Linked DNA regions of Ovis aries. Each later gene encodes a partner of the first gene's protein in a complex. Links are inferred from orthologs where the notes say so. Each region holds a gene or a part of one and is shown on either strand. Other genes may lie near its edges.

The links. Proteins that work in one complex are often made in the same cells at the same time.
Region 2: TAF1B (region 1) and POLR2F share a complex: the UniProt entries of both Homo sapiens proteins name them as parts of the pol I pre-initiation complex. The link is inferred for Ovis aries from reciprocal best matches to the Homo sapiens genes TAF1B and POLR2F.

What each region holds. Positions count from the first base shown.
Region 1 is NC_056056.1:19,133,698-19,140,308, reverse strand, and holds part of TAF1B (TATA box-binding protein-associated factor RNA polymerase I subunit B), read right to left. Parts: intron 6,130-6,611; coding exon 5,982-6,129; intron 2,418-5,981; coding exon 2,240-2,417; intron 1,695-2,239; coding exon 1,648-1,694; intron 862-1,647; coding exon 771-861; intron 1-770. UniProt on the Homo sapiens protein: Component of RNA polymerase I core factor complex that acts as a GTF2B/TFIIB-like factor and plays a key role in multiple steps during transcription initiation such as pre-initiation complex (PIC) assembly and postpolymerase recruitment events in polymerase I (Pol I) transcription.
Region 2 is NC_056056.1:215,578,548-215,584,747, reverse strand, and holds part of POLR2F (DNA-directed RNA polymerases I, II, and III subunit RPABC2), read right to left. Parts: intron 4,234-6,200; coding exon 4,103-4,233; intron 1-4,102. UniProt on the Homo sapiens protein: DNA-dependent RNA polymerase catalyzes the transcription of DNA into RNA using the four ribonucleoside triphosphates as substrates.

The DNA.
Region 1 (6,611 bases):
CTTTCCGCTTTGCTTTGTTTGGATTTGTATCGGGAACTTTATTTTGGAGGAACAGTCCAGTTATAAATGACACAGGCTGACGTCTGCAGTCTTTTGTAACAGCGGGAAGCACAGATGGGAACTGATCCACTGTGGGAAACGAAAGAGGGAGGAATACCAGAAATGCAGAGAAGAGTCATGCAGATTACGAAAAGACGAGTACTGAGTACAATACAGGCTGCCTGGACTGGATTCTGGATCAGGAGGACACTAATATTACTATTTTTTAAATCTTCTGGCCACACAGTGTGGCATGTGGGATCTTAGTTCCCTGACCACGGATGGACCCCACCTCCCTTGCATTGGCAGTGTGGTGTCTTAACCACTGGACCACCAGGAACGCCCCTAAAAGGACATTATAGGGCTTCCCTGATAGCTCAGTTGGTAAAGAATCTGCCTGCAGTGAAGGAGACCCCGGTTTGATTCCTGGTTTGGGAAGATCCCCTGCAGAAGGGAAAGGTTACCCACTCCAGTATTCTGGCCTGGAGAATTCCATGGACTATAATGGCCCATGGGGTCGCAAAGAGTCGGACATGACTGAGCGACTTTCACTCACTCACTAATAGTTAATAGAAATATTTTAAAATGTCAGTTTAGACAGAGGGGTTAATTCTAGAAAAAAGGGTCATAATGCTGGTGAATCTGAACTGATGAAACTTGAGCTTTCAGACGTAAAGCAATAGACTTGAAAAATAAAGTAGGTGAATCTAAAGCTAGAAGAGGTAACATACTTTGCCCTGGCTTCCTCCCACTTTTGTTTCTTCTCATCAATAGCTTTCTTCATAACTTGGTACCATTTTCTGAAATCAAACCATGGTTTATCTGAAAGAAATGAAATCCATGATTATTAACCAAGTATGTCACATTATTATAACACATGTTGCTCATTTGAGTCTTTACTCACTGATCTGACTGAACATTTATATGCCAGCCCTTGGAAATTATGGAGGGACTGACTATCTTCATGCTCTAATATGACTCCTGAGCAATCTGCTGTCACTCCCTTCTGTTCTGAGCTCTCACCTATACTGTGGCCCTGTATTACACCAAAACTACCTTTAAAAAAAAAAAATGGAATATAGCTGCTTTATACTGTGGTGTCAGTTTCTGCTGTACAGTAAACTGAATCAGCCATACATACACATATATCCCCCTTTTTTGGACTTTCTTCCAATTAAGTCACCACAGAGCACTGAGCAGAGCTCCCGCAGCTCCACAGCAGGTTCTCCGCAGCAGGTTCTCATCAGTGATCTGTCTTATACATAGCAGTGTAGAGATGTCAATCCCCATCTCCCAATTCACCCCACGCCCCTGCCTTTTCCCCTCTGGTAATCATACGTTTCTTCTCCACAGCTCTGTTTCTATTTTTGCTTTGCAAATAAGATCTTTACTATTTTTCTAGATTCCACATATTGAAACCATCTTTTTACATGTCTGTTCTCCTAGATTTGACTATACCTCCTTGAGAATAGAAGATATACTAGATAACTACACATATAAACAGTCTGATACAAGGTACAATTTATATATTTCTCAGCTTCTTCTCTATATTTATTGCATCTTTTAATTCACCTTTTACAATCACTTGATTGATTAAAAAAAAAGTACCTTCTTTGTTCTTTTCATTATATTTCTTGGCAATATTAGACAAAGACCTGGAGACACAAATAAACAAATCAATTTATTTGGAAATCATTCATTAGAAGACAGTTAAATTTTGAATTCTTCTGAAAGAGAAGTATAGAACAGTACTTGAAACTGATGCCAACTTTTAATGCAGAAGCAAGCACTGAAATAGGGAAGAAGACACTGCCACTCTTTGTTGGCATTTTAAGATTCTTTCACTTTCCAAAATAATCTTTGAAGACACATAGTGCCAGAAACCAAAAGGTACATGGATGAAGTGCTAGTGACTCTTTAGAATTTGTGTATGATTTAAAACTCAGGAGAATGAGACACATGTGCATCTTCCTAAAAATGGAAGAAAACATGATCCAAACAACTTACTAAAGGAGAATGAAATCTCTGACAAATACCTGAGCCAAAACATTAGGTAAGGAGTAACTGCTGCTACTAGTCAGTGTTCTGTAACAACTCAGAGTCTCTACTTTCTACTGAGACATAACATATGGAGCCCTTTACTCTGAATAATTAGGGGAAAATAATAAAATTTTTTTCTCCTAAGACTACATACACTTACCATTCTAAATTGTCATCCAATAAAAAGAGCAGTTTCAATGCCACTACAATGACAGCTACAGCTTGCACATCATATTTAACAGTTTTTGCCTTTTTAGCTATAGGATCAAATCTTAGAAAATCCACTTCTCCTATTCCAGTCGCTTTTACCACTAGGCAGGTTAAATTATGCATTTCATCTGTTGAAGAATAAAACAGAAAAATGTGAAATTAAATTCTTTGGTTAATGAGACCATACTAATGTATACATACATGAGATAAGCTTTATCTTAAAATATGATACTATGCCATAACTCTGAGACATACCATTTTGTGTATACATAAACCAAAAAATGAAATGTGTAGAGAAAAACATATGGTCGAATCCTGGCAAGGTCTATCTTCTCCTATTCTGACTTCCCAAAATGCCTGCTATCTATGGCACATATCTTGGCACCAAATATACAGGCACACATCCATCTTCTATTGCTTCATCCACGCCCCTTGTCTGTGTTTCTACAGCAATCTGCATTTACCTGAAACCAACTTTCCTGTAGGACCAAGGGCTTCTCTAAAAATGTGCACTCACTTGGGAAGCTAGGGAGCCTGGCTAGCACACTGGAAGGCCCAGTGTGCACCTCACCTGCTGCCCTGCTTTCCCAAAGAAATTACATGCTCAGCACAGACTCATCTATTATTCAAGGCTGAGTAACTTGGGACTTGGAGCCAGAACACCTACAGCCTATATATTTAGGCTTTCTGATCATGAGCTTTGTGACTCCGGACTAGAGCCACTCAACCTCAGTTTCTTCACTTGTAAAATGGGTTATGGTGAGGATAAACACAGGACATAAAAGATAGGACAAGTGAATTATACTTTGAAAACTCTGAATTACTAAGCAAATTTCTTTACTTACTAACTGAAGTACCTATATTGTGATTAAATTCAAGTAGAACAGTTGTTATTTACAAGAGCATAATAAGTTGTATTGCATTTCCTATATACTGTCAGTCATTATGTTCTGTTGATTCTATTCTCTTAATGTAGTATACCATACTTTTATAACAGTCCAAATAACATTACATACAGTATATACATGTCTCTATATAAAGTATTATATACAGAATTTTATTACTATAAAAATGGTATTTCTTGAAGAATGTCTCCCCTATTTATTTAAAATTAATACCTTGAATTGCTTCTCTTATACTAAAAGTACATAGTAATAAAAAGCAAATGAAAAAAATTATGAGGAAGGAAGCCAGGACAGGAGAGAAAAACTAAGATTCTGACCTGGAGTATTATGTGACCTGGAGTATTATATGACGCCTCGGCCATCCGGCAGCCAGGCGTCACTCAACCTGCCTACGTCTCATCTGAGATGAGCACACCCACCTGTCCTCCCTTTCCACCTTCACGATGAGGTAATACAGATGAAGGCACTTTGGAAACTCTACAGGGTTCCCCACAAATTAAACAGACATGATTATGAAAGCTGCCAGGAATTCTCTCTGGCCAGCTCCTCAGTCCCAGGATGAGGGATAAAACTAAGGGATGTATTTGGAGTTCAGTCAGAGCCACCAAGGAGGCAGTGCTTACTCAGCAAGGGTGTGTGTGTGTGACATGCTTGCTGGAAGCTGCTTTCTGCCCAGTTCCAAAGACGACATTGTCATACATAAAGGCACTGAGGAGGGGCATTCGTTGCCCTAGCATGCTTAAAACCACCTTTAGCTTTCTGGGAACCCGAAAACCTCTCTTTGAAAAAGGGCCAAGTACACAGATCTCTTCTTTTTGATCAACAGCACAAGAGAACTATAGAGTGCAAACTTTCAGCTTTGAAAATGGCAATATTCTAGAAGCCTTCTTATAATTTCATGGGTAGGAGGCCAATCAATGTCACATTTTAGAATGCAATTTCTAAGGTGAAGGGACCACCACATCTTAGTTAGTAGATCTATTTTGTTTACTCTTTCCTCCCACTATTATGTAATATAAACTCAGTATAGGACATTTATAAGATACATAAAGTGGGAAGAAAGAAAAAATGCATTACTATAACTTAGAAATAGCACTTCAATATTGGGATAAATTTATTCCCAATATTTTCATGAATATTTTAATTTTATATAGCTATGATTATATTATATATAATTTATAATTTGGCCTATTTCCTTTTCTATTATGACATAAACATTTCCCATGCTTTTATATACTCTTCACAAACATAATTTTAAAAGATGCACATGGTTCTACTGAATATACAAAATATTTACTTAAACATTACCTTTCCATTGGATATTTATTTCTGATTTCTCAGTATTATAAATAGGGTCAATAACATTTGTGTATAGTTTTTTATCTATATTCCAAATTATTTCTATTGAACACTTTGTGAGAAGTAAAATTTTTCTATCCTGGCTCTTTTTAATATGGTCTCTAAAATAGCACTTTACAACATCAGATGATAGCAGTATCTCTCTGTATATTATAGTGGTTTTAATTCTACTTCTTACTCTCAGGAAGAGTTAGGTGAGAAATACTATTAAGTTATACACACTGGTCAGAAAACACTACCACCATCGTTTCTGTCCAATAGCAACTATGTGAGCTAGATACTTGCCATAACCCAGCCCAAGCCAGTTATATTTTGGTAATTCCTTGCATTCTTTCCATATCTTAGTGTTCTTCATTATGAGCTTACGATTTTGGAGTATATAATAGAACAGAGGAACCCGCCATATTTTGAAAGAACCACTCCAAAAGTAACTCAAAAAACCAAAATCCAAAACAATAAACTGATATATGTAACATGCCAAAGTGCAGAAATCAGACTTCCCAAATTCTGGAATCTTAATCAAAGAGCCAGTGACTTCTAAAGTTACAGCAACATTCCTTAGCTTAATAAATGATACCTTTGAGAAGCTTATTTTTTCCTCTTTAAAAAATATTTTATAAGACTTAGATTTATATTTGTATACATGTTACTCCAATTTATGTTTATTTTTATAGCTAAAATTATATCATACATGCAGTTTTATATATATTTTTTTCATATAACATGTCTTTTCCTTTCCTATTAAAAATATATTCAATCACATTTTTTTATACTGCATAAGCAATAATATAGTCATGCCATGTTTGTATTTTCTGTTAAGAATAGAAACCCTGCAGTTCTCACATTTCTAGTTTAGCAAGAAATTCAGGAGTAGATTCCATCGGCGAATTCCGCTGGGGTGACCTGTGTCTTGGTGTATTGTGAAGAAGGGTAGTGAGGCTGCCTTTGCATCCTACCAGACCTTCATCTCCATTTGTTTCAGGGACTGGAAATAGCAATGTTACTAAATAATAAAAATATCACTGTAGATTAACTTCTGGGATTTTAAAAATTGGAATTCTTTATTTAATAATCATGCTTCATGCAAATGAAGGAGTGCTGCCCTTTTTTGGTAGAGGTTCCTAAGTAATTAATAATACATACTGAATCATGTGTTACTTGTATTCAGCAAAAATTTACTGTAAAAACCAAACATTATCTTTCAAGCTTATCCCTCCCATCCAAAACAGAACTCATTACTTCTGAAAGTGTCCTTTTAACCATTTTAAATGGTCCAAAACATTTTAAGAAAGAATTTTGAAGTTAAGCTTCATGTTACTGTAGACCCTGTCAGGTGACTCTAATAGTCTCTGATTGAGAGGATTCAATACATTTTTCATAATAATTCAATAAGTCAAGGCTTACTCATAATATATACCTCACACTTACCAGGGAGATTGACCTCCATCAAGTATTTCATACACAAGATGTTTGGATGAAGATAGCAGTTTTCAGTTATGTCTGGAAAACGCGGCAAATCTAAGAATGTGGCAACTTCAATTATTTTTTTAAAGATAACTTCATAGTTAGGCCAAGACTGGAATGAAAGAGATAGTCAAAGTAGCAATTTCTGCAACATAAATTATTTTAAAAACTACTTCCTGATTTTAAAAATAACATGTATTCACTGAATAAAACTTGGAGTATAGATTAAAAACATTAAGGAGAAACACCCATAAACCCCAAATATCCTCACTGAGCTGTTTTAAACAGTAATAGTGATAAATTAAAAAGCCACTAAAATTCTATCTGGCTCTAACAATTCTTACTGGCCTTAATGATATAGTGAAGCCATTACTTCTTGCCAATCATAGAAGAATCTGGGATAAAGCTGCAATCCTACTGGAATTATGATGTCATCATAATCCCGGCAAAGCAGGACTTTCTGCTCGCCTTCCCTAACCAGCACCCTCTTGCCAACCTTCAAATTCACAGCTAACAGATTCAGTTCAGTGTTACATAATATTCACATGCTTCTATGTTGGAGATGACACCAGGGCTTAAGTCTAATAGTTAAAA
Region 2 (6,200 bases), about 200 Mb from region 1:
ACGCCTACACAACAATAATGCTAAAACGCTGCTGGCTACAAGCAAAGCCTCACTAGGCGCCATAGCTGCTCTCCACCCACCACGTGGATGTCTCATTTGTAGTAAGCACTACTGCTACTTCCGTTTTACTGAGGAGGAAACTGAGGCACAGGGAGGTCAGTAATTTCCTCAAGGTCACACAGCCAGTGAGTGGTAGAACCAAGATTTGAACCCTGAAGACTCCTCTCTACTATTCTGTAACACCTCCCATTAAAAAACTGGTGATCCACAAACTGAAGCCAGGTACTGTGAAAGGGACAAGTGTGAGCTGTCATTACTGGGTCGTGTGACACTCATCACGTCCACTACCCTGGCCAAGGACCTTCCCCAGGGCCTGTCACAGACTCCTGAGCCCACGGCCACAGCAGAATATTCCCACACAAAGGACCCACATGTGCAAGAGCTCACCCTCTGATCACTCTACTCAACCCCCAGCCCTGCCTCAGGGCCTAGCTCGCCTCGTCTTCCTTCTCTGTCTTGGCAACACCCCCTGCAGGGGTCCTGCTCCTCTAGCCCCTACACAAGGCCTGTGGTCAGGCTCTCCCCTGCTTACCTCTCTTCCTTGATACCCCATGGCCAACAGGCAGGCAGGACCTCCTCTGGCCCCCACTCACCTCTGCAGTACTTTCTCATGCTACCTGCCTCTATTCACCCTACATTCCAGCCACATCAAACCACTATAGCTTCTTATGCAGGCCCTGTTGTTTCCCTTCTGCATCCTCACACGACTGCTTCCTCTTCTTACAGGCCTGAGAGAGGCTCAGAGGTCTCCACCCTGGAAAGCACGCGCTGAAGCCTCAGGGCCCTGACTCATCTCACACACACTTCTCTCAACACCACTGTCACTAAACTGTGACTTCCCGTTTGAAGTTTTCCAAACAAGACCTGGTGGTCCAGGACCCCAAGTTCTATTCTAGTGCAACACCTGGCCCACAGCAGAGGGTCTAAAAGCAGACAAACCAGTTCCAGGCCCATCTCCTCTAGGAAGTCACCCTTATTGATTCCAACTCAAGTTTACACTAATGGACCCCAAACCTGATAGGAGAGCGTGCTAAAAATACAGGTTCCCAGGTCCTTCCCCAGACCCGCTGAACAGATTCTCTAGTGAAGGAGCCTGAGAACCTATATTAGCAAAGCTCCCCTGGTGATTCAGATAACCAGCCAGTCTGAGAGCCACCAGTTTACACTAAATGATCTACTAATTTTATTGCTAAATATTCTGATGTCTGTTACTCCCCAAAGCCTGAAAATTCCCCAGGGGCAGAAACCAAGTATTTAACTTTCTCTATATCTTCTCTCAATAATTATTTAAACTTCCCCCAACATTTAAGAATGTGGCAAACTGCTTTCCCTGACATGCATATGCCTTATTTCTTTCAAGATATGAATAATTCAAGAGCAGTCATTCATCCAGCCCTGCTACATTCACAGGAAATGTGAGAGTGTGCCCTCAATGTCTCCACCAGGGTTTCCAAGTGGCAACCTTCCTTGGGAAGCAGCCATGGGGTCGCAAAGAGTCAGCCACGACTCAGCGGCTGAGCACAGCACAGCACAGTTGCAACCATTCAGCCACCAGATGGGGCTAATGAGCTGGAGTGAGACTTCATCCACAAATACCCAAGAAAACATTGTTCAGCTTCTACTACTAAGCACAGGCTTCCCTTGTAGCTCAGTTGGTAAAGAATCTGCCTGCAGTTCAGGAGACCCGGGTTCGATCCCTGGGTTGGGAAGATCCCCTGGTGAAGGAAATGGCAACCCACTCCAGTATCCTTGCCTGGAAAATCTCATGGACACAGGAGCCTGGTGGGCCCCAGTCCATGGGGTCGCAAAGAGTCGGGCACAACTGAACAACTAACACTTACTAAGTGCAGGATTGCAGGCCCATAACTCAAGACAAGCTCCAGCCCTGACTGTCCAAGGGCTTACAGCAGCTGGGAAACCACCAGACAGCCTCTGAGCTCTTAATCTGAAGGAGTGCTACAGCCCCAAAGGGTTGGACAAGAGTCTTAACCTCCAAAGGAAGGCAGGACCCTGGGCCTTGTTTGGAATGCCTGCTCGACTGTCCACCCAACGCATGCCCATCTTCTAAACTTGTCACTCAAGGGACCAGTGGCATCTTTTCCAGTCTTGTGCCCCAAGCGCTTGCCATTCCTCCACCACAATCCACACATGTCTGCCTTCACTTTCCTAGTGCTATTTCTGGCACCTAGGAGACCTTCAAAACCACGTCACTTTATTCTCTTCTCTCCTTTTGTTTCTCTTGTAAAGCATCAGCCTCGTCTGCCTTGGGTTCTGAGTATTTAGAACGGGCTCCCGTTCCCTACTAGACAGTAAACATCTAGAGGACTAGGGAATTGTGTCTTTAATCCTCTTTACACCTCCAAAAGGCATGAGCACAATATCTTATTTGGTGCTGAAAGACTTTAACTTGCATACACTTTATCTGTTTAAAAAACAGATTATGAATTATTCTTCCTGCTGGGTGGCATTCAGCAGACATGAATACTACCCCTCTAGCACTCTACAAGGATGGAAATGTCCTCTATCTGTGCTACCTATCACGGTAGCCACAGAGGCTACTGGGCACGTGAAATGTGACTAAGGAGACAGAAACACTGAACTCCTATCTGCTGCTGTTGCTAAGTCGCTTCAGTCGTGTCTGACTCTGTGCAACCCCATAGATGGCAGCCCACCAGGCTCCCCCATTCCTGGGTTTCTCCAGGCAAGAACACTGGAGTGGGTTGCCATTTCCTTCTCCAATGAACTCCTATCCAGTTTTACTTAATTTAAATGGCCAAATGTAGGGAGCAGTGACCATACCTGTGGTGCAGGCCTAGAGGATCCTGACCCCAGCAACACTGAAATCATCATACGGGGTGCGGCTCTCAACTCACCCAGACCAGCAAGGGGTGCAACCAGGCTGGCAGGAGGCCTCCTGCTGCCAAGTGAGTGAAGAACAACAGTTTCCCGCCCCAATAAGACCCTCCACCGAGTGGTCACCTTCACTCCACAGATAAAGTCCAACACTGTTTGAAAACTTTGGGCAGGGAGCACACAGATTGAGCATCACCGCTCCCCTAGCATATTTATCACCCCACAACTCTGACCCCAGCTTTTCTTTCAAGCCTGTTTCCCACTCCTCTCTTCTCGAAGCACCCCTCCTTCAGGTGTCCACCATTTCCCCCAGCAGCTGGTAAGAAGTCTGAAATAGGGCTCCTTTCTGCAGCCTCTTGTTTCCCTGGGCAGGACCTGCCATGAGAGCAACAGTAACACGCCTGCCCTCTGTGTCCTCCCACTTAAGTCTCGCCAGAACAGAGGAGGAGTTCATCTGACAGGGAAGCCTGGCAGGGAAAGCCAGCAGCTGTGGCCCAGCCTCTTCAAGAGCCCTTGCTTCCTCAAAGCCACCTGTCCTCAGGGGGCTGCTTTTGGATCTGTTCTGCACGAGGCCCACGCCCTCGCAGACACGGCCTCTGACCCCTGCAATGCCTGTGGCTCATGGGTGGACATGTGAGCACCGCACATTTTGACCTGACCTGACTTGGCTACTGGCTGGCTCCCAAATCATGTTGTTCTTCAACAAGTTCCCAACTTGGGAGAGAAAGGAAGGGTTGCTAATTTCAACCCCCTACACCCCCGACCACTGCTCTGTGCTTCCACATTCCTAGTGCAGCCTCAACGTGGAGGGCTCTCTCACTCCCCTGGGCTGGCCCCAGTCTACTCAAGAACCACCTTAAGCCCAGCGGGAGCTGTGGCGGCACCCCAACTACCCAGCCCACAAGGGTCTAGGTCTGATCTTATTGCGTTCATTTTCGTTTCCCCACCTGACGGGCGGTCATCACACTCTGTACACTCACGGTTACTCTCTGCTGTTTATGTCCTATTCCCCCAACAATCTCCCCGAGAACAGGGGTCTAGCACAGCGCCTGGCACATGGGGATGGCGCCGCCTTTGTTCAGCCTGTGAGAAAGGGATGGGTCTGCTGCCAGGCCGGGCCATTATCAACAGCTCGGAGGCTCCCTGTGGCCTGACCAAAGGACACGATGGTGAGGGGGCTCATACTCACGCAATCTGAAGGGCTCGGGTGCCCAGCACGCGGGCTCGCTCATACTTGGTCATATATGGTGTGGTGATTCGTTTCTGGTTGGCCTGCGGTCGCTCTCCAGAAGGGAGAATCTCAACGTTCTCCTGGCCCTCCTGGACACAAAGGCAGAAAAGAGGGGAAAATCTCAGGCTGTATCACTGGGGGTGAGGGGCAGGACAACGACAACAGTGACTGTGAGCGCCTCCACGCTGCATGCCAGTGACCACACAACTGCCTTATTAACACCTCACCTAATCCTCACAAAAACCTTATCAAGTGGGGATTACAATGCTCATTTTAAAGGGCTGGACAGTTAGCCAACGTGGCCAAAGTCTCAGAGCTAGTGAAAGAGGAATCGTGATCAGGAGTCCAAAGCCAGCCGCCTCATCCAGCAGAGAGAGTTGGTCCCATACAAAGAAGTCCTTGAGCACAGACAACCTCACCCAAACCAAGAAGAGGAAGAAGCACCCCATCTTTACACATGTATATATTTAACAACCACTTATTAAGCATCTGTCATGTGCCAGACATGATAAAGGTGCTGAGACGGAGTCTCTGCTCGCCAAGAATTCACAGTCCAGCGAAAAGGCAAGAGTAAACAAAACATCAAGTGCTATGAAAGCGTGGCAGTGTGCCACAAACTACACAAGAAAGCGAGGGGCATCTACCTCATCCTGGGGGTTAGGAATACAGTCCAGAGATGAGACTTGGGCTAGTCTCCAAGGATGAGTACGAGCTGCCAAGCTAACAAGGAAAGAAAGAAAGGGCATTCCAGACAGGCTGAACTGCATATGTGCAAAGACACACGAGGGAAGAGAGTGTACTCAGCCTGGATGCCTAATCATGGGGTATGATAAGCCCAAAAGGTGCAAACAGGGTAGACAGGAGAATAAATTCTGTAATACAAAATTAAGCCAACAAATATTTACTGAGTGCTTACTCTTTGTCAGATAGCATTCTAAGTGCTTGACACAGAGCAGTAAGACAGATGAAAGTTCTTTCTCCCATACAGCTTTACATTATAATACAGTGAAAGTGAAAGTCACTCAGTCCTGTACGACTCCTTGTGACCCCACAGACTATACAGTTCGTGGAATTCTCCAGGCCAGAATACTGGAGTGGGCAGCCATTCCGTTCTCCAGGGGATCTTCCCAACCCAGGGATCAAACCCAGGCAGGTCTCCTGCATTGCAGGTGGATTCTTTACCAGCTGAGCCACCAGGGAAGCCCAAGAACACTGGAGTGGGTAGCCTATCCCTTCTCCAGTGGATCTTCCAACCCAGGAATACAGTGAGATGAACAATAATAAAATAAGTAGTAAAATGTGCAGTATAAAAACAGAGAGAAAAGACAGGGAGTGTCCGAGTGGTGATGTTGGAGGAAGGAGCAAATGCAGTGATTTGAAACAGAATGGTCAGGGAAGGCCTCATTGAGGTGACATGTAACACAGACCTGAAGGAGGCTGAGGAGCAGGTTGTGTGCATAACTAAGGGAAAAGGAAGAGGGAACAGCACGGTCAAAGGTCCTGAGCTGGAACTTCCCTGGCATGACAGCGATACCAAGAAGAGATAAGACCACAGAGGGAGCAGGCGGTCGGATCACGGAGGACCTTGTGCATGTTCTTGGCTTTTATTCGGAATGAGATGAGAAGTGACCAGACGCAGGTTCTGAGCAGAGGAGAGACAGAGTGACTGAAGATTTAAAAGGATCACTCTTGGATACTCTGTTAAGAACGTTCTGTAGAGGCTAAGGGCTGAAGCAGAGAGAACACTGAGCAAGACCAATAGTAACCAATCATGTGGGTAGGAGAAAAAGTCGACTCTGGCAGCAGAAAGGCAAACAGCAGACTCAAGGCAGGAAAACCGGTAACAAGTTTCTGCAGTAATGCGGATGAAAACCAATAAAGATCTAAACCAGGCTGAGGCACTAGGAATAGAGAAACGGGAACAGGACTGAACTACATGGAGGAGGCAGAATCAAGAGGAGAGAGATGGAAAGGCATCAGAAGAACCGAGAAGAAGGCTTCTGACTCAGTGAACAGATAACCTCAGAGTGTTAGGCAGACAGGAAAACCCACACAA